Linked DNA regions of Lytechinus pictus. The main gene of each other region encodes a partner of the protein of the gene in region 3 in a complex. Links are inferred from orthologs where the notes say so. Each region holds a gene or a part of one and is shown on either strand. Other genes may lie near its edges. The genes, in order: eukaryotic translation initiation factor 3 subunit M-like, eukaryotic translation initiation factor 3 subunit C-like, eukaryotic translation initiation factor 3 subunit G-like and eukaryotic translation initiation factor 3 subunit I-like.

Evidence for each region.
Region 1: eukaryotic translation initiation factor 3 subunit G-like (region 3) and eukaryotic translation initiation factor 3 subunit M-like share a complex: the UniProt entries of both Drosophila melanogaster proteins name them as parts of the eukaryotic translation initiation factor 3 (eIF-3) complex. The link is inferred for Lytechinus pictus from reciprocal best matches to the Drosophila melanogaster genes eIF3g2 and eIF3m.
Region 2: eukaryotic translation initiation factor 3 subunit G-like (region 3) and eukaryotic translation initiation factor 3 subunit C-like share a complex: the UniProt entries of both Drosophila melanogaster proteins name them as parts of the eukaryotic translation initiation factor 3 (eIF-3) complex. The link is inferred for Lytechinus pictus from reciprocal best matches to the Drosophila melanogaster genes eIF3g2 and eIF3c.
Region 4: eukaryotic translation initiation factor 3 subunit G-like (region 3) and eukaryotic translation initiation factor 3 subunit I-like share a complex: the UniProt entries of both Drosophila melanogaster proteins name them as parts of the eukaryotic translation initiation factor 3 (eIF-3) complex. The link is inferred for Lytechinus pictus from reciprocal best matches to the Drosophila melanogaster genes eIF3g2 and eIF3i.

Annotation. Positions count from the first base shown.
Region 1 is NC_087253.1:1,908,168-1,915,332, reverse strand, and holds the start of eukaryotic translation initiation factor 3 subunit M-like, read right to left. Parts: upstream 3,016-7,165; 5' UTR 2,916-3,015; coding exon 2,874-2,915; intron 1-2,873. UniProt on the Drosophila melanogaster protein: Component of the eukaryotic translation initiation factor 3 (eIF-3) complex, which is involved in protein synthesis of a specialized repertoire of mRNAs and, together with other initiation factors, stimulates binding of mRNA and methionyl-tRNAi to the 40S ribosome.
Region 2 is NC_087246.1:16,951,519-16,958,445, reverse strand, and holds the start of eukaryotic translation initiation factor 3 subunit C-like, read right to left. Parts: upstream 3,010-6,927; 5' UTR 2,851-3,009; intron 1-2,850. UniProt on the Drosophila melanogaster protein: Component of the eukaryotic translation initiation factor 3 (eIF-3) complex, which is involved in protein synthesis of a specialized repertoire of mRNAs and, together with other initiation factors, stimulates binding of mRNA and methionyl-tRNAi to the 40S ribosome.
Region 3 is NC_087259.1:30,430,712-30,437,938, forward strand, and holds the start of eukaryotic translation initiation factor 3 subunit G-like, read right to left. Parts: upstream 3,010-7,227; 5' UTR 2,907-3,009; coding exon 2,890-2,906; intron 1,400-2,889; coding exon 1,353-1,399; intron 820-1,352; coding exon 731-819; intron 121-730; coding exon 61-120; intron 1-60. UniProt on the Drosophila melanogaster protein: RNA-binding component of the eukaryotic translation initiation factor 3 (eIF-3) complex, which is involved in protein synthesis of a specialized repertoire of mRNAs and, together with other initiation factors, stimulates binding of mRNA and methionyl-tRNAi to the 40S ribosome.
Region 4 is NC_087261.1:4,539,487-4,546,882, reverse strand, and holds the start of eukaryotic translation initiation factor 3 subunit I-like, read right to left. Parts: upstream 3,025-7,396; 5' UTR 2,910-3,024; coding exon 2,907-2,909; intron 1-2,906. UniProt on the Drosophila melanogaster protein: Component of the eukaryotic translation initiation factor 3 (eIF-3) complex, which is involved in protein synthesis of a specialized repertoire of mRNAs and, together with other initiation factors, stimulates binding of mRNA and methionyl-tRNAi to the 40S ribosome.

The DNA.
Region 1 (7,165 bases), on a different chromosome or scaffold from region 3:
AATCTTGAAGGAGGTAGATCAACCAAGAAGAGTATATAAACAAACAAGTGGAATGCCTCTGGCCGTCTCACCTGCATCACGCGATTCAATATAGCAGCAGTGCTGATTTTGAAAACTACTATAACTCGCACAAGATGTTCAGTGATACTTGGTTACTCTTATTTCCACGTTTTATGAACTAGACCAACACACTTTCAAATTTATGGCTGTAATTCAACAAATACCCCAATTTGGCCAAAGTTCATTGACCCTAAATGACCTTTGACCTTGATCATGTGACCTGAAACTTGCACAGGATGTTCAGTAATACTTGATTACTATTATGTCCAAGTTTCATGAATCAGATCCATAAACTTTCAAAGTTATGATGGTAATTCAACAGATACCCCCAATTCGGCCAAAGTTCATTGACCCTAAATGACCTTTGACCTTGGTCATGTGACGTGAAACTCATGCAGGATGTTCAGTGATACTTGATTAACCTTATGTATAAGTTTCATGAACTAGGTCCATATACTTTCTAAGTTATTCTGTCATTTCAAAAACTTAACCTCAGGTTAAGATTTGGTGTTGACGCCGCCGCCGCCATCGGAAAAGCGGCGCCTATAGTCTCACTCTGCTATGCAGGTGAGACAATAAAACGATCTAGATGAATAAGTACTTGCTAGATCTAGAACGAGTTAGAGCCTAGGTTTAACGGGAGCAAATAAATACATGTACATGACAACTTATCTAAAAAAGAGAAGGAAAGAGAAAAGTTCAAATATGAATGGCACAAATATGAATTACGATTTCTCGCCAACCTGTCACAAAATTAAATTTTCATTTTTTTTTAAATGTATTTTTATTGCTCTTTTTCATCATTCATGTTTCATTGTTCGTTGAGTCAAAGTCACAAACAATGAACCCCATTGTTTGTGACTTTGAGTCACAAACAATGAAACATGAATAATGAAAAAAGAGCGATCAAAAGAGTTTGACTTTGTCATGATCATGCCACTTGATGGTGTTTAGCCTTGCCCTTAGCCTTAAAAATAATTGGGTGACTCAGGCCAGCAGTTAGACCGATAAAAATAGGTCTATTTTTGTCAGAGATATGCTCCGCTGAGACTTTGTCTGGCTCTGCGGCATCCCCTCCATCAATAGACCAATGACGGCCAATGGGCTTGTAGTCGTGGAGCTCCACCAAAGCCTTTACTACAGCGTCTATGGGGAAAAGGGTGCGATTTTGCACCCTCCTCATTTACTCCTAAATTTTGCTTTTTGACGGGAAAAAGGAAGAAATGATAAAGATAAATTTAATTTTGAATGCAATTAGCTTACAACCTTTCCCAAAAATATGCTGGAAAATAGCAAATTTTGATGAAAAACAGATCAGGATCAGCCAGGTTCTCCTTCGATCGCTCAATCGCCATCAGCTACAGCTGAGCGTATCGACGCACCAGCGGATTGGCTGGCACGTTCGTACGCTCAGCTGTAGCTGCGCTGACGTCGATTGAGCGATCAAAGAAGAACCTGGCTGATCCTGATCTGTTTTTCATCGAAATTTGCTTTTTTCCAGTATATTTTTGGGGGAGCTGATTGCATTAAAAAAATTTATAATTTCTTCCTTTTAGAAGTAATCAAGGAGAGTGCCAAATCGCACCCTTTTCTCCATACATGTAGACGCTGTCGGTGGAGCTCCACCACTATGAGCCCAACGCCATTGCCGTCTGTATAGGACAAAAAAAATCAGAATTCTAGAGAATCTTTTGAAAAACTCCTCTGAAACAGCAGATTTATCAAGACTAAACTCTATAAACGTTAGCCAGCAGTATGATGCTTGCCTAAATATGCATTGGACATACAGAATTAACAAAAAGTTACACCCTTTTTACACACTACATGTAGTAGTGCTACAAAATACAGGTACTGCTAAACAGTAGAGGCGCTGGTCCAAAAAATGGGATTGTCCCAGAAAACAAGGATATCCTCATAAACCAAGACAAATCATGTCTTGATAAATTGAGATTGTCCTTGTTTATGGGGACAGTTTTTCTTCACTTACCCCTGCGGGACATGGACGGCAATTGCTGGGATTGCTGAGAGTGCTAATAATAGATTCAGTGACCTGAATTCCCCCCCAGTTCACCATCAATTTTTTTCACAACTTGCCGTCTTCCAATAATCTTATTATGAAACTTGATATGCTTTACATTGACTAGCGCACTCGATTGATGTCGGCACTTGACAGGTGAATGAACTTTCCTAGATTTCTTGTGTGGATAAATCTTTGTCTGAAAACTGAGACAGTCCCTGTAAACTTAGCCAGGCGGCTTCTTGAGAGTAAAAATTATTTACTTACGTATGCTTACTCTCAATGAAGCCAGGTATTCCTTCCCATTCATCTCCACGTACCGTTGAAAAACCTGAAACTTTAGCCCCCGAGATTTCTACTTTCCTTCTAAAAGATCTAGCCCTAAATCATGTACCGGTACATGGGATAAAACTAAATAAAACTTCATTTCCGACATTTCTACGCTCTCGGTTTTATTTTTAAACAAGAATTCATCAAAAAAATTAGAAAAATATTGAGAAAAGACGGAAGAGACTTGCCCGATGTTTACGCCGCCATCTTGTTTCCTATTGTACTTCCCCAACGTTACGCGCGTGCGTCGCGTAACGTTCTTCCTTTCATTCTTTCTTTCCTTATTAACACAGGCGCAGCGCGCATAGCTAGTCGTAAAACTCGTAATAATATCTTTTACAAACACAAATTTCAATAGGTGGGAATACATAAAGAAAACATGAAATTCGGGTATCTCAAAAACAATCGTTAAATTATTTCTTCTCTTTGTCCAAAGGAAAAATGTAAGTTTACATTAATGACTTACTTGTTCTGCCTCAGGAATATTGATAAAAGCCGGTAAACTCATGATTTTGTGACTTCTTTTCTCCCGTATGCCTCAAGAATAATTAACACACGCAGCACGCGGGTAGAAATAAAATGAGTTCTCAGGTATGTCTATGGTCAGTCATGCATAAGGATATACGTACATTATAGTATCAAGAAAAGGTACCAGTCTTTTCATATGTCAACGCCCCCCCCCCCCTTCCTCTGATCTTGTGTACGACATACTCCCCCCTCCCTTTCTTCGCTTACTACATGTATGCTTCTAATATAAACTTCTAACACAAACTTCAAAATATTTGATGCATGCATCAAACCCATTCTTCTTAAATTCCGAAGTTTATAGAAAAGATCCTTCATGACCGATAGAAATTGAAAAATATATATATGACAAATTTGATGCCAGAAAATATTCAAATATATTGGTTTAAATAACAGTGCATATAATGCCGTCTTATCAGAAACTATCAATACCCAATATCATTATCAGTTATAAAATTCCACCCGGTAATTCCACACTTCAGGGAGGAATCGTTGTTTCACTTGACAAATGAGGAGAAAATTATAGAATATTTCGTATTTCATATAAAGAATTACAAAAGAAACAGAGATCGAGTGGATCACATCAAAATCATCATTATGATACCGACCAGGATATGTGAAGCAAAACTGTCACAACTTTCTTATTTTACAACCGATTTTGATGAAATTTTCAGTGTTATGCTTGTGGGATTTTCTCTTTTTATTCGAATCAACTTAATTTTTGTTGGGGTGGACTTGTCCTTTGAATACAATTAATGATGTTGAAAATCTTAACGTTTCGTTAGCACCAAAAGAAACGGTATATGCATACTGGAAAATGAAATGACATGATTTGCGATCCAAGTAGCATGGCCCAAAATTAAATCTAACACCGTGAAGCAATTACAAGTATGAATTAATTGCAGTTAATTAGAACGACATTGTAACTGGAGATTATATGTTATGAATAATAATATGCCCTGTAAATTGACAGATAATCGAGCTAGAGTCAAACAGTTTCTGACAGCATATAGCACATATTTTCTTTTTTTTGTGTGTTTTGTTTTGTTATGTTTTTTCCCCCTTTTTTGTTTTGTTTGTTTTGTGACTCCCTGCAGGACCAAAATCCAATTGAAACCAGTTGGATTTCCTACTGGTTTCAATTGGTTTTAACTGGTTTCAATTGGTTTTAACTGGAATTTAACAATTTCCAGTTGAAACCAATTGAAACCAGTTGGGCAACTGGAAATCCTAACTGGAACCAGTTGGGTAACTGGAAATGACTTCCAATTGGAAATGATTTCTAACTGGAACCAGTTGAGTAACTGGAAATCCCAACTGCAACCAGTTGGGCAACTGGAAATCCCAACTGGAACCAGTTGGGCAACTGGAAATCCTAACTGGAACCAGTCGGGTAACTGGAAATGACTTCCAACTGGAAATGATTTCTAACTGGAACCAGTTGGGAAACTGGAAATTCTAACTTGAACCATGCAGTTGTGTAACTGGAAATCCTAACTGGTACCAATTGGTTGAATTGGGTAACTGGAGATGACTTATAACTGGAAAGATGGGTAACTGGAAATGAATTCTAATTGGAACCAGTCCGGGTAATTGGAAATAAAACTGGAACCAGTTGGGTAACTGGAAATGATTTCCAATTGGTTTCCAATTGGAAATTTTCCAGTTACCCAACTGGATCCAATTGAAACCAGTTAATTTGCATATTATCTGCCAGTGTGCACAGATTAATGTTTTATGAGATTCATCATCATTAACAATGTATATATTTGATTATTTTCAATTTCAAGTACCACACTTTTTAAAGATAAGTATTTAGAATACTTAGCAGTGGAAACCATGTTCATAAATGTTATAGATTATAATTAAAACAGATCAAAGGATAATTAGTACACCACTAACTGTTACCAAATTACATCAAATAAAAAATACATATATTTGAAGATCTTCCATATAAATATATACATATGAAAGTCTCTATTTTATCAATGCCTTTTACGTTGGTATTAATAGACATATAACACTGCTTCTATGTTGGCATGAGCAATAGTTAGTGCAAATGCTAATTAATTTGTAACTAATTAAGTTCATTCCAACTGGAAGTTCCAATTGGATCCAGTTGGAAACCAATTGGTTTCAACTGGTTCCAGTTGAAACCAGTTGAAACCAGTTGCCTCCAACTGGTTTCAACTGGAACCTATTGAAACCAGTTGCCTCCAATTGGATTCAATTGGTTTTAATAGGGAAATTGGAACAACTGGAACCAATTGACACCAATTGCCAACTGGTTCCAGTTGCCCAATTGGTTTTAACTGGAACCAATTGGCAACTGGTTTTCAATTGGAACCAATTGGTTTTAACTGGAACCAATTGGCAACTGGTTTTCAATTGGAACCAGTTGTTCCAATTTCCCTATTGAAACCAGTTGGCCAACTGGTTTCAAATGGTTTTGCCCTAATTGGTTTTAACTGGATTTTGGTCCTGGGTCTGTTTATTGCCCGTTTATTGTTGAAAATTTTCATTTATCAATGTAACTTTTTGTTTGATGATTTGTAACAATTATTAATTTTCTTTGATTATAGTATCCTAATTATGTTTGGATTTGTAATAAATAACTTGAAACTTGCCTAACAGGTGGGAAATCAAGTACGAAAAATTGGCATACGGGTAAATAAGAATAAAGGATAAAAAAGAAAATAAACATGAAAAATCATGAGAAAAAGAAAGAGAGACTTATAAAAAAAATGACAACCTTTTTTTATTTTTTGCTTGTCCAATTTATCTTGGGAAAATATGTGCCCTCCGTTTGAAAAATCCTTGATCCGCCCCTGGTGCCTAAGGCATGCACGACATATCGGGCTCGATACTCCAATTAAAAAATCAATAGAATCAAATAAAACTGTAAGGTCGCCGGTCATACCCCTTCTACTAGAAGAAATTTTCCAGTGAAAAAAAATTATTCCCCCAATAATGCAGTTAAGGTGCATATATAAATTTCCTTTCTCCGATACTCGGATATAGAATGCGGCAAGCCGCAGAGTTGAATTGGAATATCAAAATATATGCAAAAAAAAAAAAAAAGTAAAATCTTGTCCGCCTGTTCCACCAAAAATGTTCTTTTGCCTCCTCAGTTGGTGCCATCACTGCAACCAATCGGGGAAGCGTGTCATGACTTGTTGGATATCCGACAAAGGTAATTCAGTTACCATATAAAATGCATGTGCATGTCGATCAGTCAATCAAAATCAAATCAGATCTATTACCGCAACAATTTGATGAAACGCTCCTCATTTTATACAGCTTCGGCCAAAGTAAATTATGTTTCATAAGGTTATGAAAAAAAATATCTTGGGTAAAATAATATAATATAATATAACATAATATAATATAACATATAATAATTCTTTTTTTTTTCTTTCCCCATTCGTTTCTCTTTCTTTCTCCCTCTTTTCCCTCTGTTTTGTTTTGTTTTTTGGCCAGCAGCCGATTGGGGGCACGTGCCACCCCCAAGGGCGGAAATCTCTCCCCAAAGGTAGGGGGACCAGGGGCTGGAAAATTTGACAAGCAAAAAAAATGTTATCACCCCAAATGTAAGGTCATAAAAAGAAATATATATATCACCCAAAAAGTAAGGTCATCTCGTTCAAAAGAAGTGTTTAATTTCGATTTTGAATGACGTATTTCTTTTCATCATAAAAGACCCAAAATAGTAGGGGACATTTGATATTATGTCCCACTACTATTTTGGGTAGGGGAAAGGACGCGTCCCCCTGTCCCCCGGATTTCCGCCCATGCCTCCCCCGTAGTTACGCCACTTATAAACACAGCATTTATTATGCGCCATCTGACGAAGTAATCGAGACACAGAAAGATAAACATTATTATTTAGATAAACTATGAGTGCTGACAAAGACAAAAAAATACAGCAAGGACTATTTGTAAGAAATCATAAAAGTATCTCACGAATCAAAATGCGAGAACGCAGGGCGAGCTGAAATTTTAATTACAGGATGACTATGTATATATATGTATATATAGAAATAGTCTGTTTCGGCATAAGGAATAAAATAATCACAAAAGGTTTAGTAAATGCCGTAGAAATAAAATCGTAGATTTTAAAAGGAGCATAGCTCTCAAAAATGAAAGGTAAAGTCACACTCTTCGTCAGTGCCCATGATGTGACATAAAAGAGAATTCAAAATCCGTTTCTGAAACAGTATATATATATATATA
Region 2 (6,927 bases), on a different chromosome or scaffold from region 3:
TATCTAAAAACAGCGCATAAATTTCTTTGTGGACATGATAACGTATCGAGATGAAAGATAGTCTGAAAATTCTCAAACCTTTTCTTAATGTTAACTTCCTTGGAAAATAAAATTTACAAGAGGTAGTGGCTATTCAATTGTAACTTAATGAAGCATGCGATTTTTCTCAGTCAACAATAAATTCTAGCTGTATCCAGCAAAAACTTCTTTGACAAAAGAAGGCATTCGGATCCAAGAGATATTACAGAGTTGGATTTGATGACTTTTCGGCAATAGATCTCATTTGAGATGATGGATCATTTCAAAGAAAATATGCCTGGGAGAGCAGCCACATGTATTTTAAGCACTGTAGTGCACAAGCATAAGCGTCAGAGGCGCATGGGAAATTATGCATCATGTCAATAATGCACTAAATGTTTTTACAGAAGAGATGCTTCTATTGGTTGACCTAAGCAGATAAGATCACTGTCAAATTCTCATCGCTTCACTTTGGCAATGCTTGGCTTCAGACTTCATGGTAGTTTTGATATGGACTGAAGTTAGCGACCAAAATATCTGTCTGCCAGCAGCTCACCCATTGTTTGCCGCATGTTCACATATTGGTCGCTAACTGCAGTCCATATCAAAATTACGGAAAATCCAAGGAAAATGATGTCTGAGAATTTGAACGGAGACCTCCCAATTAAAGTCGAAATACAGCTGTTCCCGATATGCAATATTCGGAAAAGCAGTGGGCGTAATCGCATATTGACCATGTTGACCTTAAAATATGATACCTGGGAAATCCCTTGGAATTGGGCATAAAGTTATACAAAAAATTATTTGCCTCTCGGTGTCTACAGACCAGCAATAGTCACTTACGGTGTGTTTATGCTTCCATTGCGAGGACAGAATCAGCGTTTTCAAACGTCGATTCAAAACGCCGATTGTAAACGTGGTTCTGGGAGTGCTGTTTATGCTTAACTTTTCAGAGGCGAAATCACGATCTCCAGCTGTCCTATATAGGGTCTGCTGATATTTTATTTTATTTCCAAAACCACTTGCCCGATCGGGCAATTGACTTAGGGAAATGCTTGCAAGCACATCATTTCCACTTGCCCCGGGCAAGCGGGTTTGTCGCGCCCTGTATAAAGTCTCTGGAATGGCGCGCACAGGTCAAAGACCCGACCCTGGGGGGCCAGTCAAATGTATTGCTGTACACACGCGTGGCCAAATTATTTGCAAACACCCCCTAAACGAGTTTTTCTCTGTGTGCAAAATATCCCCCTAAAACACAGTGGCAAATTGTATAGAACGGATAGCGGTGCGTTTAACGCTAGCGGGCGTGTACATGTTGCTTATTACATGACGTCATCCAGCCACTGCCGAGAGCCAATTTATGAATGAAAATATAGTAAGCATGCGCACTGCAAGCCTTCCATTGCCCCACACAGTATTCCACCAAAACAAGTGTGCAATTCTCTATCATACCAAAATCGACCTAGAATTTCACTTTCCTATATTTTATATGAATTATGAAAGGTATTCTTGGAGGAACTATTTTATCACTGATACCGCACAGGTAAGCGAATTTCGATTAATTCTTGATTTTCCGTCAAAATCTTACGAATTAGCGTCGATATGGCATCGTGTTCGTTGAAGTTTGTAGAGTCTATCTCAATGTGTACAAAGTCAAATGATCTCCGGGTTTCGGAGCGTCGCGTGAATATGCATGAAATTGCCGAGTCTCGATAATTTTTGATCGATACTGGAGCGATCTAATCACGAACCAAGACCATTTCCCGCGTAGACAATGTGACCGGATATCGTTAGCACTATTGATACTTTCGCACGCAGTCCGAAGGGATTATTTTGGTGACCACGTAGTCATGACGTGATCTGCGCGATTGGCCAATCAGCAGTCTCCGACTCGCTGAGCCGAGACGGTCTATCCATTGTACACAGTCTATGGACAATTTGCCACTGTGTAAACAAGTTTTTCGCGGGATTTCTTTACAAATTTTGGCCCCCAAACCAAACAAGTTGTTGCCAGAATATGACCCCGGGAAAAAAAAACATACCCTAGACATGTTTGGCTAGTATTTTAGTAATTAAAAAAAAGAGCTTTGGAAAAAAAAATACCCTAAAAGGTTAAATTATTAATGTTTGACCCTGCGATTAACCATTGACCAGTCTTTCAAAACTACCCCTTTTTCTGAAAATATGTGTTTTTAATACCCTTAACGAGTGCACGCGCGGCCCGCGTCCAAAACTGAAAAACACCCCTTTATTTGCGTTTATTGGGTCACGCATGTCTACCGGCGTAGTCTACGGCAATACATTTGACAGCCATCTTTTGGAGACCAGCCGAGGTTTGACTTGCCTTTGAGCCAGTTTGTAAAATTAAAAATAACTGATGAATTGATTGAGAGACTTGCTATTTTCGAAGTTACTGGTGGGGAAATTCTCTCGAAGTCGGCTGATGCGAAACTGCATTAGCGCCTAAATGGCGACCCTAAGGTCCATCATGCACAAATCGCCCGTTTTCGGCACGTGCGATTTCTTACGTGCACAAGTGAACGGGAACTATCACACTCTCGTGATAGATGTGAACAGTTTGAACATGAACAATATCGCAATTTACGCTGTTGTGCCAGGTATCTTCGCAATGAATGGGCGCATGATCGACAGAACGAAAAGGTCTGCGACATAGCTCCTCTTTGCAGGATTTATAATGAACGACACATAAGTTTTAAAACTATCACACATGATATTCAAAGATAACTAGTCAACATTTTTCACATTCATTCAACAAATGCAGTGCTTAATGCGAATTTGGTTCAACAATGTGCAATATGTTAACTTTCTTACCTAACCTGCGTGAGCAATCTCGGAATCATAATCCGCCATATATGAAGGCGCGCGCGAACGCTCGCGGTCGCTCGCGCTCGCGCTCGCATCTAGCTAGCATAGCTATACGCTAGCCATCGCATTCTAGGAAGTGGGCTACACGTGCACAATGTGAAATGCATGGGCGAAAAGTTGTGACTCGGCCAAAATAAACTCAGCACTCATAGGTGCTCTGAAGTTTTATCTTTTAAATGCCATTAATTTTTTTTAGTTTCGTTCATGCTTGAGCAAACACGAAATGTTTTTGTCTGGGGTTAAAAAGGAGGCTTGCGCCAAAATTGCATAAAATGATAAATATGACGATCGGACTTCTTGCTAATCAGCAGACTTCATTTTAATCTTTTCATTATCTTTGCCATAACTTTCAAATTATGAATTGTTTTGTTGTTGTTTCTTTTTAATATGTTCTCTTTTAGAGTTGAATATTCCTTCGATCTTCAAGCAAAAACAATTTTTTTTTCAACCGAAGTATGGGAGAGCGTGTATTTTTTTCAAATCCTTTCATTGTGTGCTACAAAGGTTATGGTGCCTTTTGAACAGTGCCACTTTTTTATGGGCGGGGGCTCGGGGATGCTCCCCCCCCCCCCCTCAATTAAAAAAAAATCATGACCAAGAAAAAAGTGGAAAGGAAATAAAAGGAAAGACAGAAAGTAAAATATGATATCATTTTCTGAATATTATGTCAAAATCTATATCACAAAATTTGATATTGTAATAAAAAAGTGGGAATATTTGCGTGCTCGCTTCGCTCGCTTACAACTTTTTAATTTTTACCCGATCTGCCATATCTAGCTCCTTCAAAATTGACTCAACACACCATTGCTATTGAAAGACATGAATCCCTTCCTGTTTGTCCTGTCAAGCATATAATTAAACTTGGTCAAACGGGAATCAATAAACCCTTGAAAAATTGATTCATGTCTTTAAAGGTACCATATACATAATTTGTTTCACATAATAAAAGGATTTGAATAATTATACAAGTTTTCCCAATTAATAATGCAAATTTTCTTGCTTGGGTTGACAAAAAGTCTTCTTTTCTTACTTATGAAGGAAAATTCAAAGGTAAAAGAAGTTTAAATGAAAAAAAAAATAATAATTCAAGTAAATAAATAAATTTGTAAATAAAATTTGACAGCATAATTTTAAAATTATGGCACAGATAATGAAAAGGTTAGAGGAAGTCTGCTGATTAGCAAGAAGTCTGATCATCATATTACTCATATTCTGCCATTCTGGCGCAAGCCTCTTTTTGAACCCCCGACAAAAACGTCCCGTGTTTGCCCGAGCATAAACATTATTTTTTTTATTTTTTTATTGAATTTCAAAGATAAGATTTCAGAGCATTATTAACATCAAAATATAGATATCATAATTTGAAACAAATTATTTATAGACTGTTCAAAACTGTCCCTTTTTATACGCACTGTATTGGCGGAGAAAAAAAGAAAGAAAACAGAGGAAAGAAAGAAAGGGAAAAAAGAAGGGGAGAGAGACGAAAATAAAAGAAGAGGGAAAAGAGAGGATGAAGAAGATGAGTTAATAAACATATTGTGATCGAGGGGAATGATTTTTCAAATCTTTTTTTTTTGCATTACATAAAATTTTCGCTCACGCTTCGGGTTCGCATTGCATGTTCAATGAGATTATCTTGCTCAGAAGGCTTAAAATATCAAGTTTTGAAGTCAATATACAAGTTTCAGCTCGGACATCGAGCCCATTTTATCAATCTCGCGATAACCCATGCATCCTATTCATAATCACAAAACATAATGTCCAGTTTTCATGCCTCAGCACATTTCGCGCTCTCATTATATAGGCTTATTAGCCTAGATAAAATATTAACATTTTCATTAAAAAATGATGAATTTTTACTGTACTGTCCCTTTTTTTTTAGAAAGGAAAGTATCGACAAGTTTTATCTCGCGCTTAAAGGAAGTCTTCTATAAGTTTCGTAGTCACAAAACATGCACGTTATGCACAACTCCGTGACTTGCAAATGAGAGTCAATTAATGATGTCCCTCACTCACGATTTCTTTTGTTTTTTATGGTTTAAATACAATATTTCAATTTTTACAGATTCGACAATATGGATCCTGACTTGACTTAACCATAAACTGTTAAAATACTGGCAATTCCACGTGTTCAGGGAGGAATAAAAGTTTTGTTTCACTGACAATGGGGAGAAAATTAGATTTTTTTTTCATGTTTCCGAAAAAAAAATATAAAAGAAATAGTGAGTGGGTGACATCATCACTCTGCTCATTTGCATACCAACCCCGGATACCGACCAGGATAGCTGCTTTGTGAAATTATTTGATTGTCGAAAAAAAATTGTCTTCATGGCTATCTGAAAACAGTATAGCAGGTCCCTTTTCGATCATGCAGGCCGGAACGTAGATTAAAAATTTCTGCTCGCGCATGGGCCCTCGAAGTAATTATCTAGTTACATTATTTTATACGCATCTTGTTCAGGATGACAAACATGCCCATAAAAATGTTGAATTATCAGGATAAAATACATGAAATTTACAAAAATTCGCGCTTGCACAAATATAGCTAAGAAGTGACTGTTGGGGGCTTGGGGCTACCCCTTCAAAGAAACAAACAAAAATCAACTTTGAGCTTGGCCGCCTTTATGACGTCCCTCCAAATCCATGCACGCTCGGGCCTATATATTAGGCCTAATATGATTATAGGTGGGGTTATAACAGGTCCCTGGGAACGATTTTTTGACTGGGGTGCTGAACATCTCTCCTCAAAGGTGGGGGAGGGGGTCACAATTGAGTTTTCCATTGTTCTTACACACGCACACACCCACATACATATATATATATATATATATATATATATATATACTTCTTATAGCTTTATTCATTAAAACATAACATATATATATAATTAAATAGTGCGAGTGCGAAGCGCTGGCTAAGATTTTTGGAAATTATATGTATTTTATCATGAAAATTAAACATTTTGAGCAATATGTTTCTGATCCTGAAAAAGATGCGTATGTATTAAATAATTACTGCGAGCGCGAAGCGCGAGAAATTTTTAATATCCGCTCTGGGACTGTTTGCAGTTACCCATGAATACAATACATATTTCAACAATCAAATAATGCGAGCGCGAAGCGCGAGCTAAGATTTTTTGAAGTTTCATTTATTTTGTCCTCAATATTGAACATTTTGAGCAATGTTTGTGATCCTGAACAAAAGGGGCATGTTAAGGACTATTTGCAGTTTCCAATGAAGACGATACATATTTCCACAATCAAATAATAAGTGCACAGTTGTTTTTTTCCAATAAATCCGAATATTTTATTTTTAACTGAAAAATGAAGAATCTCACTGGTTTTGGTCCTAATCCAGTCCTCTAACTTTTTCCAAATGTGATTAACATGCCCGCACTCCGAGTACAGATGCAAAACTGTTTCGATTTCTTTTCGACAGAAGGTATACATTTTGTTTACTGAAACTAATTTCGATTTGAAAAGCAAATACTTTGTAAATAATATATAATACGTTGCACAACTTTATATTGAAACCAACGCAATGTTACATCTTCCTACATTAATAATTTGAGCGCGAAGTGCGAGCAGAAATTTTTAGATATTCTGATCTCAAACTGGATTTTTATGCACGTTTTAAATAAAGGGCAAGTCGAAATCTCAATAAACATGCGCGCGTGTTTAGATTTAGATTCTAAATAGGCCTACATTATTTTGTTTATGAAAATCAATAAGGCGAGCGCGAAGCGCGAGCTGAAAATATTTGATATTTCGATCTGGAAAAGGGTGAATTCATGCACTATTTCAAGCACTGTGTAGGAAAATTCTGAATTGGATATGAATCGGATGAATGACACGAGCGCGAAGCGAGAGCTAATAATTTTTTATCATTATTTTGACCTAGGACCAGGCATTGTAAGGATATTTGTCATCATATGAAAATAATGACTATCTTTCTATTCCTCTTTCTAAGAGCAAGATGAACCTTGACGGTATTCCATTCTAAAAAAGGGACAAATTATTGATT
Region 3 (7,227 bases):
TGTGTATCTGGTATAACTTGACATCAGAACCATTTTTTTTTGCTAATTTCATCTTCATACCTTTCGTTGAGCTACTGACTTGGAGGCTTTCCTCTTCTCAATCTTAAATGTGCGTGTGATCTGAGAGAGAAAAAAAAAACTTCATGATTTCAAAAAAACTAAATACATATAGCCTGTTATGTAAATCACACAATGTAATTATTTCTTTTAGGGGCATGTAACACAAAGATTAGTGATTGATTATACAATTGATTCCTTTGACTGATTGCACATAATGATCAAGGTACTCAAGGGTAAAAATCAGACCTAGATCAAGCACTAGGTTTCTTGTTACTGACCACTGATTGTCATGTATTAATGAAATACAAGCACAAATTAAAATTTGTGGTTTAGAGAATTTGCCTACTTTGAACATAAATATTTCAAGGAACAAATCACTGAACTTTTGTTAGTAAATTGCAGCACTGTGCTGTTTGGTACTCTTACAGTGGCAGTGAAGTAGGATGTACTTACTGTAGATGTTAACAGTCCGACTTTGTAGGACTATTTGTCCATTTTAAAATAAATGAATATATGTTTAAAATAAATGAATATATGATAACAAAATGACTTGTATGCACAACCAAACATGAATACATGTAGGCCTACATAAGACAAGTGATTTTATAATTTGTAGATTCTTTGATAAATGTAGATAATAATCATAAATCTTGTAAATAATTGTGGGTACCTTTATCAATTTGCCATCTTCATCTCGTTTGTACTCGATCAACTTCTTGAAATCTCCTTCAAACAATTCTTCAGGAGGTGGAATACTCCCTAGTAAGATAATAGGAAAGAAAGATATTAAAAAAAAAAGATTTAGCATAGACTGTGATACACTCCTGTATCTTGCCTGATTTTTTAACCAAAAATGTGGAAAATAATGCTCAGTTGAATAAGTTCCTTTATTGATGATTGTAGCTTACTGTACAATGAATTCAATACAACTTTCAGTAGTGGTTCCGAATTCTGGCCTGGTCTAATAACTGGCCTAGTCTATTGTCCATCCAAGCTCAAATGATAGCAACCTAGTTTTTACAAATAAAATAACATAACAAACATTGACATTAAGACATAAAAGGTCACATACCCTCATCAAGGTCAGCTTTAAGTTTTGGGATTCATTCATCATTAACCATACAAGTTCAAGCTTTAGTAAGCACTAGAAAGGAAACTGAACTTTAAATTATGTGCAATAAACATCCTTTGAAGAATATTTTGCAATGATCATTATCTTTGCAAGTCCCTTTTTTTTAGGTTGGTTTCCTCTTTATAAAAAGAGGAGACGTAAGTCAAAATGACGAACTTACTCAAATCTCCTTCCTCTACTTGGTCTGCCCAGCTAATAGGTTTAGATCTGTAAAGCAAGAAGAAAAGTTTATTTTCATTTACAATAGGTCCTTGAACCGCTTTGTTATGATGTACCTTCGATTAGCGATGTTACAAAATGCCTTATTGAAGAACAATTCATAGATAAAATTATTATTTAACAAATACTAAAATTTAATACGTGATTAAAACCGTCATAACGAAGCGATTCAAGGGTCAGACTTATTGTATTTGCTTTGTTGAAGAACGAATCGAGAGATCTACACGAGTTCGGGCTGGTAAGAAACCTTCAATTTTTAACCTTCGTATTAACCAATTTTTGAAACCTTCATACGCATTAGGCGTATGAAGGTGTAAAAATAAATAAAATAAAAAACATTTACGTGATTTTTATCTTAAAAGATGGATTTCCTAGGGAAATCCATCTTTGTTTTAGTGAGTCTCTTATACATATATGGCAGGCAGTTCAAGGCTCCATGATGGAGAAGCTTTTATTATATGTCAAAATATTTAAAAAATATCATCATGGAGTCTTCAAGTTCAAGGCTACAGCTGATCTGCCCGCACGATCGCTCACGCGAGTGAAGTGCCTACTCAGACAGACAGTAGAGGCGCACGGCCAATATGGGAGACTCTCTCCAATAGGGGAGACAATCTCCCGCAATGGAGACTTGCTTTGCAAAAGGACAAAAGAAACAACACCAACAAAAGCATGATTTTTTCTACCCAAAATTTTGTCTCACTGAGGTCAGAAGCCCATTTGTTTTGAGTGTGATTGAAAACAAAAATCCTTATCGAAACAAAAGTAGACGGTGAATTTTTAAAGTAGACGGTGAAAAGGGGTAATTTTTCATGAGGAATCTGCTTATCACATTTTTATTTGCCGCCAAGGTAATCCTTTTGCAGCAAATGTAAACAAAGGAAATTGGTCTCCAAAACTGGAGACTGTCTCTGAAATTTGATACCCAAATTCTTTACAAAAGTCTCTGATATTGGAGATAATCTCCCACATTGGAGACAGTCTCCAATATTGGCCGTGCGCCTCTCTACTGACAGAGCACTCCTCAATTTTTAAATCTAATCAAAAGATTAAAAAAATAACCATTTATGATTTAAAATAGGCCTAGATCTAAAATGATATTCTGAATTGTCTGCTTATGTTCCATTAATTGCCTAATCACTAAATTGAACACACACTCAGTCACACTCATCGCAATGCAAGGAACACTGTCTTGCATATCAGATTTTCTGTGCTGTATAGGCGTAGCTGGTGAATTAACTCGGGTGATATTCCAATACGTTTATCAAGAAAACGTGATATCACCTATTCAATTGCGTGTAAAAGATATCTCACACGCTAGGCCGTGGCGCATGCCTCTTGAGGAGGGGAAAGTCGACAAAGATGGTGATAAAAAGAATCTTTATCATGATAAATTTTTCAATTTTCTGAGATTATAATACTTATTAAAATAAAAATAAAAAAATAAACATTTAAATAATATTCTGGTTAATGCTTACGTATCGGCCGAGGGCATATTTGAAGACTGTTTCTAGGCCAACTTTCGTAAAAGTGAACAGCTGCTATGACACACATGCGTGACTTGCGTAAGTACACGTATTCGGCGCGCGTACAAAATGAATGGGACAGCTGCACCAAAGCTGCACAGTAGATGGCGCTATATCAAAACCCGATTCGGGATCAAAGGGGGGGGGGCGGAGGGCAGTGGCGTAACAGGCAGGGGGGTTTCACCTGGAAAATAAGGGGGGGAACGGGGAAAAGAGAAATTGATTGATTGATTTTATTTGGCAAGTCACAATAACATGGACGAATCGTAGTCCTGTTAACTACCACGAATGGAAAGTCAATTCGTAAAACCATCCACTGTAAACAAGACTTGGAGAATCTGTAACCTGAGAGAAAAATCAATGCTGTTGCATTCCCCCGTGCATTCCAGTCTAGTTTGTTGGTTTATTGGTTTATATCAATCGATTTATTATCTGACTCTTAAAGATAAATAAAAGTTAGTGACTGAAATAGTATATTACCTTTTGTCAATTATTTCTCAAGTGTTTGTGTTTTGTGTAGATTTTATGTTGTCCTGTGCGTCTTGTTAACGATGTCGAATGATGTAATAATAGAATCAAGTTTGAATAAAGATGAAACCATCAATAACTCATCTGCAAATTTAAACGATACTTACCTTCTTCCATTTGCAGAAATTGATGACTCGGAATTTGAATCCTTATTCTGTTTAACAAGAGAGTCCGTCGATACAGATAATATAGACGGACAATCTGTGGAAAATGGTCAGGACGAATATACCGACTCCACCAATGCGAAGTATTACTTGACCTCTGAATTTAATGAAATTATCAAAAACTCTGTAACAAAAAATTTTAGCATGATCCATTTCAATCCCGGGGGGGCCACTTCCATTGACGAGTGGATACCATGCGCGACCACGGGGTCTTGAAAAGCACCCTAAACACGTATTTTCCATATTCTGAAAATGCACCCCTTAACAAGTATTGGCGTGTGAAACCCTACCCTTAACAAGTATTGGAAACAAATACTATTGGCAAGTATTCCCAGAACTGAGCCCCTAAACAAGTACAGCGATGTATTTTCCATATTCTGAAAATGCACCCCTTAACAAGAATTGGAAACAAAACGATACTCTTAGCAAGTATTCCCTGAAATGAACCCCTTAACAAGTACAGAGGTATTTTATTGTTATGTCACGCGTCCGTCGGTCGTCGGTTTTACCTTTAGACACCATTATTTTGGTTTAGTACGGCCCCACCTTCCACACCTCGCGCAAATCGGACTCTAAACACGTAGTGTTGGGGCAAAAAGGACATCCTTTATAAAACATTTTGACTTTGTTTTATCATCCCCGCACATTTGACCCTAAACACGTATATTTTTCCTAGCGAAATAGATACCCTTTTTTCAATATTTTTGTGTTTTTGACACCCTTATCACGTTACGTACGTAACGTGCCCTATCTTGAAAAAGACATCCTTTTTACGTGTTTTTTTGGTCGCGCATGGTATCCACTCGTCAATGTAAGTGGCCCCCCCGGGATTTCAATGCAAGGAGTTTATTTCAAAATTTTGATTATATACACAGTTTTCTCTCAAATATCAGATTTAGATTTTCAGTGATTGGGATAACGGAAACGTGGATCAACTCAAACTCTGATGTCCCCTTTTCAATTGAAGGTTATAAGTTCCTACATGTTGACCGATTAAATGGCCGCGGTGGTGGAGTTGGTCTATTTATTCGAGAGGATATGAATTACAAACTGTGTGATTTTTCTGAGCACTGTGAAGGTGTCGATGTTTTAAGTATTGAAATAGAGTGCAAATCAGAGAAGAATATTGTGATTGGGATCATTTATCGTCAACCGAAATCGAGCATTTCTGCATTTACTTTATATTTTGATAGACTGATGAATCATAGTTACATAAATAATAAACGTGTCTTCTTTATGGGCGACTTTAACATCGATTTGTTTAAAAAATCTGGAAGCCCTCTTATTCTTCATTTTTTTAACCAAGTGATTTCATCGGGGTTTTATCCCATTATAGACAGACCTACACGAGCTAATAGTAGATCATCTACTATTATTGACAATATATTCACAAATGTTTTTAGTAGTTCCCCTCTGTCGGGTGCCTTTTTAACAGATATTTCCGACCATTTTCCGATCTTCCATTTGTCACATTTGTCAGATATTGTAACATATGAACAACGAAAAGTACACACCTACAGGAAGATATCCCCTGACAGCATTAATCATTTTTGTGCTGATCTTTCAACCGTGGACTGGTCAGATGTATACCTACAAAGCCACCCGGAGAGGGCGTATGACTCATTTTATAATAACTTTATTACATTGTATAACAAACATCTGCCAATCAGCACAAAGTATATTGGTAAACATCATCGGAATAGAAAGCCATGGATTACCCTCGATGTGATGAAGCTTATAAGAAAGAAAAACAAATGTTATAAATTGTATCTTAACTCTCCTACCAAAGTTAATCACGATAAATATAAAAAAGATTCGTAATATTGTTACCCTGAATCTCCGCCGGTTGAAAAGAAAATACTATTTTGACAAGTTTGAATCCATGAAAACAAATTCTAATAAAACATGGAAACTTATCAATAACATTTTGGGAAAACAGAAAAATAATTTTGATAAACATATGTCTTTTTTACATAATGATTGTAACATTAGTGATAGTAGTGAAATTGCTGAAAATTTTAACGAATATTTTGTCAATATCGGATCGAGTATAAACAATGATCCTAAGGAAGATAATTCTAATTCGTTTGATATTTATATGAATGACCCACTCTCTCATACTATGTTTTTTAAACCGATTACAAAAAAAGAAATATTAGATATCGGTAAATCGCTTAAACCTAATAAGAGTAGCGGATTTGATGACATTGATCCATCTGTTGTGAAGACTGTTTTACCCTTTATTATAGACCCACTTTTACATATCTTTAATTCCTCTCTTGCAACTGGAATTGTGCCTTCAAAACTGAAAATATCAAAAGTTGTTCCCGTTTTTAAGAAGGAGAATCCTAATTTATTTGTCAACTACCGTCCAATATCAATTTTGCCGTGTTTCTCAAAAATCTTGGAGAAATTAGTTTTTAACAGACTGTACAATTTTTTATCACGTCATAATGTATTATATGATAGTCAATACGGCTTCCGTCAAAATTACTCCACTGAAATGGCAGTTATTGAAATTCATGATAGAATAATTAGTGAGCTCAATGCCGGTAAAGAAGTTATAGGAATTTTTATGGATCTTTCCAAGGCTTTTGATTCTCTTTCTCATGATATTTTACTTAATAAGTTGCAATATTATTGTATAAGAGGGGTGTCTTTTAATTGGTTCAAGTCATATTTATTGCATAGGAAACAATTTACTGTCTATGATAATACCCATTCGTCTTTCATGGAAATAAAAACAGGTGTGCCCCCAAGGTTCTATTCTTGGGCCTTTATTATTTTTAATATATATTAATGACATTGTTAACTCTTGCCATGAACCACATTTTATATTGTATGCCGATGATACGTCACTTCTTGCCTCCCATGATAATATCACTACTTTAGTTGAAATTGTAAATATAAATCTTGCCCAAATTTCTGCCTGGTTTAAGTTCAATAGACTTTCCTTAAATACAAACAAAACTCATTGTGTTTTATTTAATAAAAAGAGGGGTGTGCAATATAATCAAACTGACATATTTCTCCATGTGGATACAACTCAATTGCAATTTTATAATTCTGTGAAGTTTTTAGGAGTGATTTTAAGCAATAATTTATGTTGGAATGATCATATAAGTTCTATCTCTGTCAAAATAGCACGTTTTATTGGAATCTTAAATCGTCTAAAATGTAATGTACCTAGTTATATATTATTTACTCTTTACAATGCTTATATTCTGTCCCGTCTTTCATATTGCAATTCAATTTGGGGTAACACTTATTCTAGCCATATACAAAAATTAATTATTCTACAAAAAAAGGCAATACGTATATGTAAGAAGACAGATTATAATGCCCCGACTTCTTTGCTATTTAAATCATTACGTACAGCTAAACTTCCAGATATTACCAAAATTCAAATTGCTTCAATTATGCAACGATACCACACAAAAAGTCTTTCACCTTATTTAATGAATATGTTCTCAATTAATGCAAACATTCACAATTACTTTACTAGAGCATTTAACAAATTCCACAGATGGACCTTTTCAAATGATAAATCTAAATATTCAATACGACATACTGGCCCCACACTATGGAATAGTTTAGA
Region 4 (7,396 bases), on a different chromosome or scaffold from region 3:
CAAATCTCAAGGTAAACCCAAAACAGACTTGGAAAACCTTAAAGTCCATTATTCCGAATAAAAAACGTGAAAATCTCACAGTTTCGTCTAATTCGGATTGTAATACTGAAACTGCTAACCTATTCAACACTTACTTTGCAAATGTAGGGAGACAATTAGCCAGTGAAATACCCGATATGAACCTCCATACAGAAGATGGTAATTATACAAATGAGACTTTTGCATTCACTCAGGTGAACGAACATGATGTTTTGAAAATCATAAGAAATCTTAAAAACACTAAGTCTGTCGGTGTTGATAAGATATCTGTCTTTGTCTTGAAGGCATGCTCTATGGAGATATCAATGAGTATTGCTAAGTTGATTAATTTATCTTTGTCAAGCGGTATATTTCCGCAACAATGGAAACAAGCTAAGATTATCCCAATTCACAAAGGTGGCGATAAAAATTCTCCTTCGAATTATAGGCCCATCTCAATTTTGCCCTGCGTATCTAAAATACTGGAAAGGGTTGTCCAACGGCAAGTTTTAGATTTTTTGCGAAATAATGATATTCTGACACCTGCCCAATCCGGTTTTCGGCCAAGGCACTCAACCATTACCACTCTCCTAAAGGTAACCAATGACTGGTTTCACTCAATCGATCTTAAACATTACATTGGGGCCGTCTTCGTCGATTTAAAAAAAGCATTCGACACCGTGAATTGTGATATTCTTTTGAAAAAAATGAATAACTTAGGTATTTCTGGCACACCATCCTTATGGTTTCGAAGTTACATGTTAAACCGGGTTTGTAGGACTCTTATCAATTCGGAACTCTCTTATGAATCAGTTATTAACTGCCATGTGCCCCAGGGATCACTCCTGGGGCCACTGCTCTTTATATTATATGTCAATGATCTAGTGAAATGTATTAATACATGTCATATCCAATTGTATGCGGATGACACCGTTTTGTATTTTTCACACCCCTCCATAGATAGAATCAACGAGGCCCTAAACTCAGATTTAGAAAATATGTACCAATGGATGTGCCAGAATAAGTTAAGTGTTAACTGTCAAAAAACGGTCTGTATGCTCATCGGAAGCAAGAATATGATTTCTAAACAAAATGTCCTTCATGTTTCCTTAAATAATACCCCATTAGAACAAGTTCATCATGTCAAATACCTAGGCATCATAGTTGATGATTATTTGAATTTTAACTTGCATATAGACAACATGTTGCAAAAAATAGGTCAATTAGTCGGCTTTCTGGGAAGATTGCGGCGATCCTTAAGTGAATCGATCCTGAAATTAATATATAGTTCATTGATCCTCCCCTACTTTGATTATGGTGATGTTGTTTACGATGCATCCTTTAGGAAATACACAGACCGCCTTCAAAAACTGCAAAACAGAGCAGGTCGTATTATACTCCAAATTAAACCCGAATCTCATATATCTATTTTGGAAATGCATGATACACTAAATTGGCAATTGTTGGACAAAAGAAGAAACGATCATTCCCTTATTCTCATGTATAAGATCATGAAAAATCTATCTCCAAAATATTTAAGAAATGAATTTGAGTTAGTATCACATACGTATCCCTCCCGTTTCGGAACCAAATTTAAATTACCAAAACCAAGAACAAATTACCTCAAAAGATCCTTCAAGTATAAAAGCGCCATGGCTTATAATTCCCTTCCTCTTCACATCAAATCATCCCCTAGTATTAATATTTTCAAATCTAAGATTGTTGATCTGTAGCACATGGACTCCGGTACCCCCCCCCCCATTCCCTGTTAGGTTTGCGCCCCTTAATTTTTTTTTTTTTTTTTTTTTTTTTTTTCTTATTAATGTTTACTGTTGATATTTACATTTTCATTTTTCTTCTGTACATCTGTTATTCTAATGTGGTTTATTTGTGTCTAAATTATACGTTAATGTTAAATGTTATGGACCCCACGGAAGACCAGCGCTACTGTGCCAGTCACGCTGAATGTGGGCTATCCACCGTATTTTATTGTATATAATTGTGCTTTTAATACGGAAATAAATACTACTACTACTATACATAAGCGGTTCAAGGGTCGACCCTATTGTATTTGCGTTGTGTACATGTGGATCGAGGGATCTACACGAGATCGGTCTGGTAAGAAACCTTTTTCTAACATTTTAATTGACCATTTTTTTAAACCTTCCTACGCATTAGGCGTAGGAAGGTGTAGAGATTAATAAAATCACAACAATTTACGTGATTTTTATATTAAAAGATGGATTTCCCTAGGAAATCCATCTTTGTTTACATGTCTCTTATACATATATGAACTGGGGTTCAAGACTCCAATCCAATGATGAAGAAGTAGGCCTATAATATGTCAAAGTATTTAAAAAAGACATCATCATGGAGTCCTCAAGACTACCCCCCCCCCCCCCCCACTCTGGTCTTGGCATTGCCATTGCCGGTATTCTGTACGATGAGAATTTAATCCATTTCTCTAGAGTCTAGCTCCGATTTAACTTTCGTAATGATAAACTTCACGCATGATAAAGATTTAGCAGTGCAGCGCAGAGGCACGACGTCAATCGTCACATGAGCTATCGATAATGCAATCGGTATCGTTCTTTTGAACCCAGCTTCATTGGTGTTGCAGCTCGGTCAGTGGCCTTTTTACACTCTCATCTCAACACCAACACACAAACACAGGCAACACCGATGACCGAACTAGAAATCACACATTCACAAAATGACAGTCACGTCAGTCACAATGCATTGAATTGACGTGCGTTCCCACGTATCTATTTCTGTGTCATGAGCTTTTTTACTACTTTTTAACAGTCCTTTAATTCATAGTTAAGTTTAATATTTTTCTCAAAAAATCATACATAGAATACTACGTAATATGAACATTCATACTTTACCATTTTAAAAAATTATATCAGTGACGAATTAGAGAATCAGTACAATCTTTCACGAAATTATGATACCAGCCGGTAGAATTTTGCAACACATGCGCGGGATCTAAATTAGTCTACGATCAGACGTTGTCAATTTTCAATGATAAAAAAGGGGTTTCCGACATTGTATGGCATGCACAAAGAGATGTATACTAATTACGCTATTAGTTATTAGTATATCTATGGGCATGCATGGGAAGCGTGTGCGGAGGGGACCGGAGGGGAGGTGGGGAGAGGAGGACTGAAGCACCCCTCCCCAATTTTTTGGTTGGTATTCTATCATTAAAATCATTCGGCTTTGTTTACCAAATTAATACATGTGCGATAGTCGCATACCCGGGTAGCATATTCCTACATAATGGTTTGACAAAAAAAACGCCTTCATTCGGGACTGAATAATTTCAGCTTATTATTATCTTCTTCTTTTTTTTGCCTGCTTGCCATTATTTTTTTAATCTGGAATGAAGGCCTTTGCTATTATTTTGTTTCTTTGCTTATTTTGGGGGGAGGATTTTTAATTGTTTGTTTTTGGGGGGTTTGTGATTTTTTTTTAATCACCGACCTGCAATATTTTGGAAGTGGAGACTATTTTTTTGTGTGGGGTGGGCTTGTCAAATTTTTGTTAAACAAAAAAAAACAGTATATACCCCCTCTTAGAAAATCGTTCCCGCGATCTACATATTATGCGTTGCACTGTCAGCTAATAAGCAATCCTTGCTGGTAACGGTACGTGGCAGATCTATGATCGAGGGTACACGGCACATATGCCACCCTCCCCCCTGAAAATCTTCAAAAAAGGGGGAGAGGTATAGTGGGGACATTAACCAGGACGGGAAAAAGAGATCAGAAAAAAAGGAAGGGAGCTGAGGGAAAAGAAAGGGAAGTGAAAGAAGAGAAATGGGAGCTCTAGGAAAGAAAGGTTAAAGGGGATGCAGCACCCCAGGTATTCTTGAAGATGTGTAAAAATGGGGGGGGGGGATGTAACGAAATAATGCTTCTGAACGCAGGCTTAATTAGCCTCACATCTCCATATTCTGCCTCCTCCATGGCCCTGGGAACGGGGGAGCGTTTCATGAAAGGACTTGTCAGACGTTTTATCCGACAAGTCCTATTTTATCCGACAGTTACCATAGTAACATTGCTTATCAGCCAATCAAAATCAAGGAAAGATGTCAGATCTGACAACATGCATGTCGGACAAAAATGTTGATGAAACGCTCCCCTGGGGTGCTGCCTGCACCCCCAAGATTTTCCTTGGGGCAGGGAGGCACTTTCCCCAAAAATTCCCAGTAGGAAAAATGCCCTTTTTTTAAATGGAAAGTATACCCTTTTTTAATGATATATGTGCCCTTTTACAGAATAATTTTTTTTTTTAAGGTTAAACAATACATTTTAGGCCTTAGAAAATTACAATTTGTTTGGCTCGCGCTTCACGCTCGCATCGATTATTGTTTAGTAAGGTACTCATCCTGTTATAGTTGCAAAAGTGCTGTAATAAAATGTCCAGTTTTTAGGTTGGAATATCACAAATTTTCAGCTCGCACTTCATTCTCGCATCAATCATTATTTGGTAAAGTACTCATTAGGCCTATGTTCTTGGTTACAAAAAGTGCTTATCCAGTTTTCAGGTTGGAATATCACAAATTTACAGCTAGCGCTTCGCGCTCGCGTCATTTGATTGATGAGATATAAAATCATCTTCATCAGTCACTATAATGCAATCCTTACCAGTGTCTTTTTCTGGTCAGTATAAAAATTTCAGCTCGCGCGAATTTTCTAGTTAGATACACATTTTTTTCATGATAACAAAAACTGCTCGGTATGTTTAATTTTCAGGATATTTGTCCAAAAGTTTGAGCATGGCGATTCGCGCTCGCAACATCTCGCAAGGATGCACTTTTAACAGCTAATAATTTGCGCGATAATTGACCAAAAGGCGAGTTTCACAGCAGCTTTTAGAATGGAAAAATTTTCCAAACCGCTCGCTCGCTGAAAAACAAAGCCTAAATATATTTCATCTATCAGAAATCACTTCAAAAAGGCTTTGCTCAACTTAATACAAAACACAAAACTTCTTAACGCAGATGATAATCTCATGTTAAAAATATTCGTTTGCAACCAAATACCCATTTTGATATATAAGTGCCCTTTTTTTTCTTTGCCCCCCCCCCCCCCCCCAACAAAAATGCGTCCGCTGCGCCTGTTTGGGGTGCTGCATGTATTATTTTACAGTGAAACAGCACCTCCTGAAATTCTGGAAGGAGTGAGAAAAAAATTGGATAAATATAACCCGATCGAGGGGCCTTTATTTGGTATACCGGTAGTGAACCCCCCCCCTCCTTTTCAAATTTGTAGGGACCAATAATGACTTCCATTTTGTATTGATAACTCTTGTTTATTCTTTTTTATTTTTTGGGACCAATAATATCACTTCCATTTTGTAGTGAAAACCTTTTTTTTTGCTCTTCAAATTTACATCAGCACCCCAATTTAAAAAATCGCTCCCAGGGCCCTGGGGAGCGTTTCATCAATATTTTCATCCGACAAGTTGTCAGATCTGACATCTTTCCTTGATTCTGATTGGCTGAGAGGTACTGTTACTATGGTAACTGTCGGCAGGTCTGACTGTCGGATAAAATGGGACTTGTCGGATAAAACGTCCGACAAGTCCTTTCATGAAACGCCCCCCTGATCTCCTCTTTAGGTTGGCTGGATCATCATGGGTCAGCTCCAAACTTATTTCATTATTATTATCATAATCATCATCATGAAGCTACTGTCGCACATCTGTTAACAATCAGTGAAAGCAATCAAATAATATTTTTGTTTGTGACAGTTCATTTTGCACAATTTTATTTTTGCACGGTCTATGTTCGAAATGAGAATAAAGCGTAAATTGCAAGGTGAATCAGAACAAAATTTCATGAGTGTGCATTTTCGGCCTTTTCACTACTTGAAAATCAGACTGTCATAGGGATTCTTGACTCTTAAAGGGATGGTCCAGGCTGGAGGTATTTTTATCCCAATAAAAAGAGTAAAATTCACAAAGCAAAATGCTGAAAATTTGACCACTTGTTCTTTTTATTTTATTATATGAAATAAGGTTTATTTTAAAAGAAATTCTACCAAGAAATAAAACAATTGGATTGACAACGGATTATAAGTGCATTAGTTATTCATCGCCGCAACTTATTTCATCATAATGGAGACACATCATTTACACATGTATAAAAAAATGAAACATTTATGATTTCATGTAATAACATTATAAAAATGAATGTGGGGATGCCATCATCAGCCCACCTAATGAATATTCATGATAGTGTGCATATAACTGTTTTCACAAAATGTTGATAAACTTCACTTTTTTTTATTTGATATCCGATTTTGATGAAGTTTTCAGCATTTTGCTCTGTGAATTTTACTCTATTTATTTAGATATAAATATTTTCAGCCCGGACCATCCCTTTAATAAAATGTCAAAATAATTTGTGTTGATGATTATGTGTCCAACCGACAAAAATGGTCAAAATCAACCATAAGTTAGAATTTACCAGAATTTTGGTTGATATTGACTATTTTTATCGGTCGAACATAACCTGTGACGGTTACTGCATCATTTTGAAAAACAACAATCTTTGACCTGCCTGATCCATCTGAATTTCAGAAACTTATGCATTTATCCACTCACTCCACCTTTAGCAATGAAAAAGGAGAAAAGAAGAGCCACGTACAATGCCCAGAAGGGCTCTGATTCCATTTGAGATGATCTTGTTTTCCAAACAGTTTATATTATCAATAATATCATTCAGTTGAAGAGTTTATCATGGACCTATACAACGGTCCAAGAGTTTATTAACCATTGTGGTTAATAAACTCTTGAAGAGCGACCACGCCCATCTTTCATCTTTGTCCCCCTGGCCTAGCTACCGATCGTACGATTTTTATACTGTACTCTTTGGCCAACCCGGCCCACGCTCCTCGAGCCAGGCCCGCTCTGCCAAGCCACGCCGCTCGCGTCGCGTCGAGCTCGCGCCAGCCGCCGCGCTCGAACAACATTCAGCCAGTTCAAACACTTCGATGCAATCATGGCGGACGCTAGCGGAGACCAAGCGACAAGGCTTTACTATCCAAACCAAGAACTGCAGAAAAATGCACACGTGAAGTCGATCGAAGAGTACAAGAAACTCTATGACCAATCCATAAATGAACCTGAGGTGTTTTGGAGTAAGATAGCTGAGCAATTTTACTTCAAAACTCCGCCGACCGAAGGCAAGCTCTTAGAGTATAATTTTAACGTGAACAACGGGCCGGTGTACATCAAGTGGTTCCAGGGTGCAACTACTAATGTCTGCTACAATGTTCTCGACCGACATGTGGAGAATGGTCTTGGTGATCGCATTGCATTCTATTGGTAAGATATAAAAGATAGGGAAAGGTGACATGAAATACCC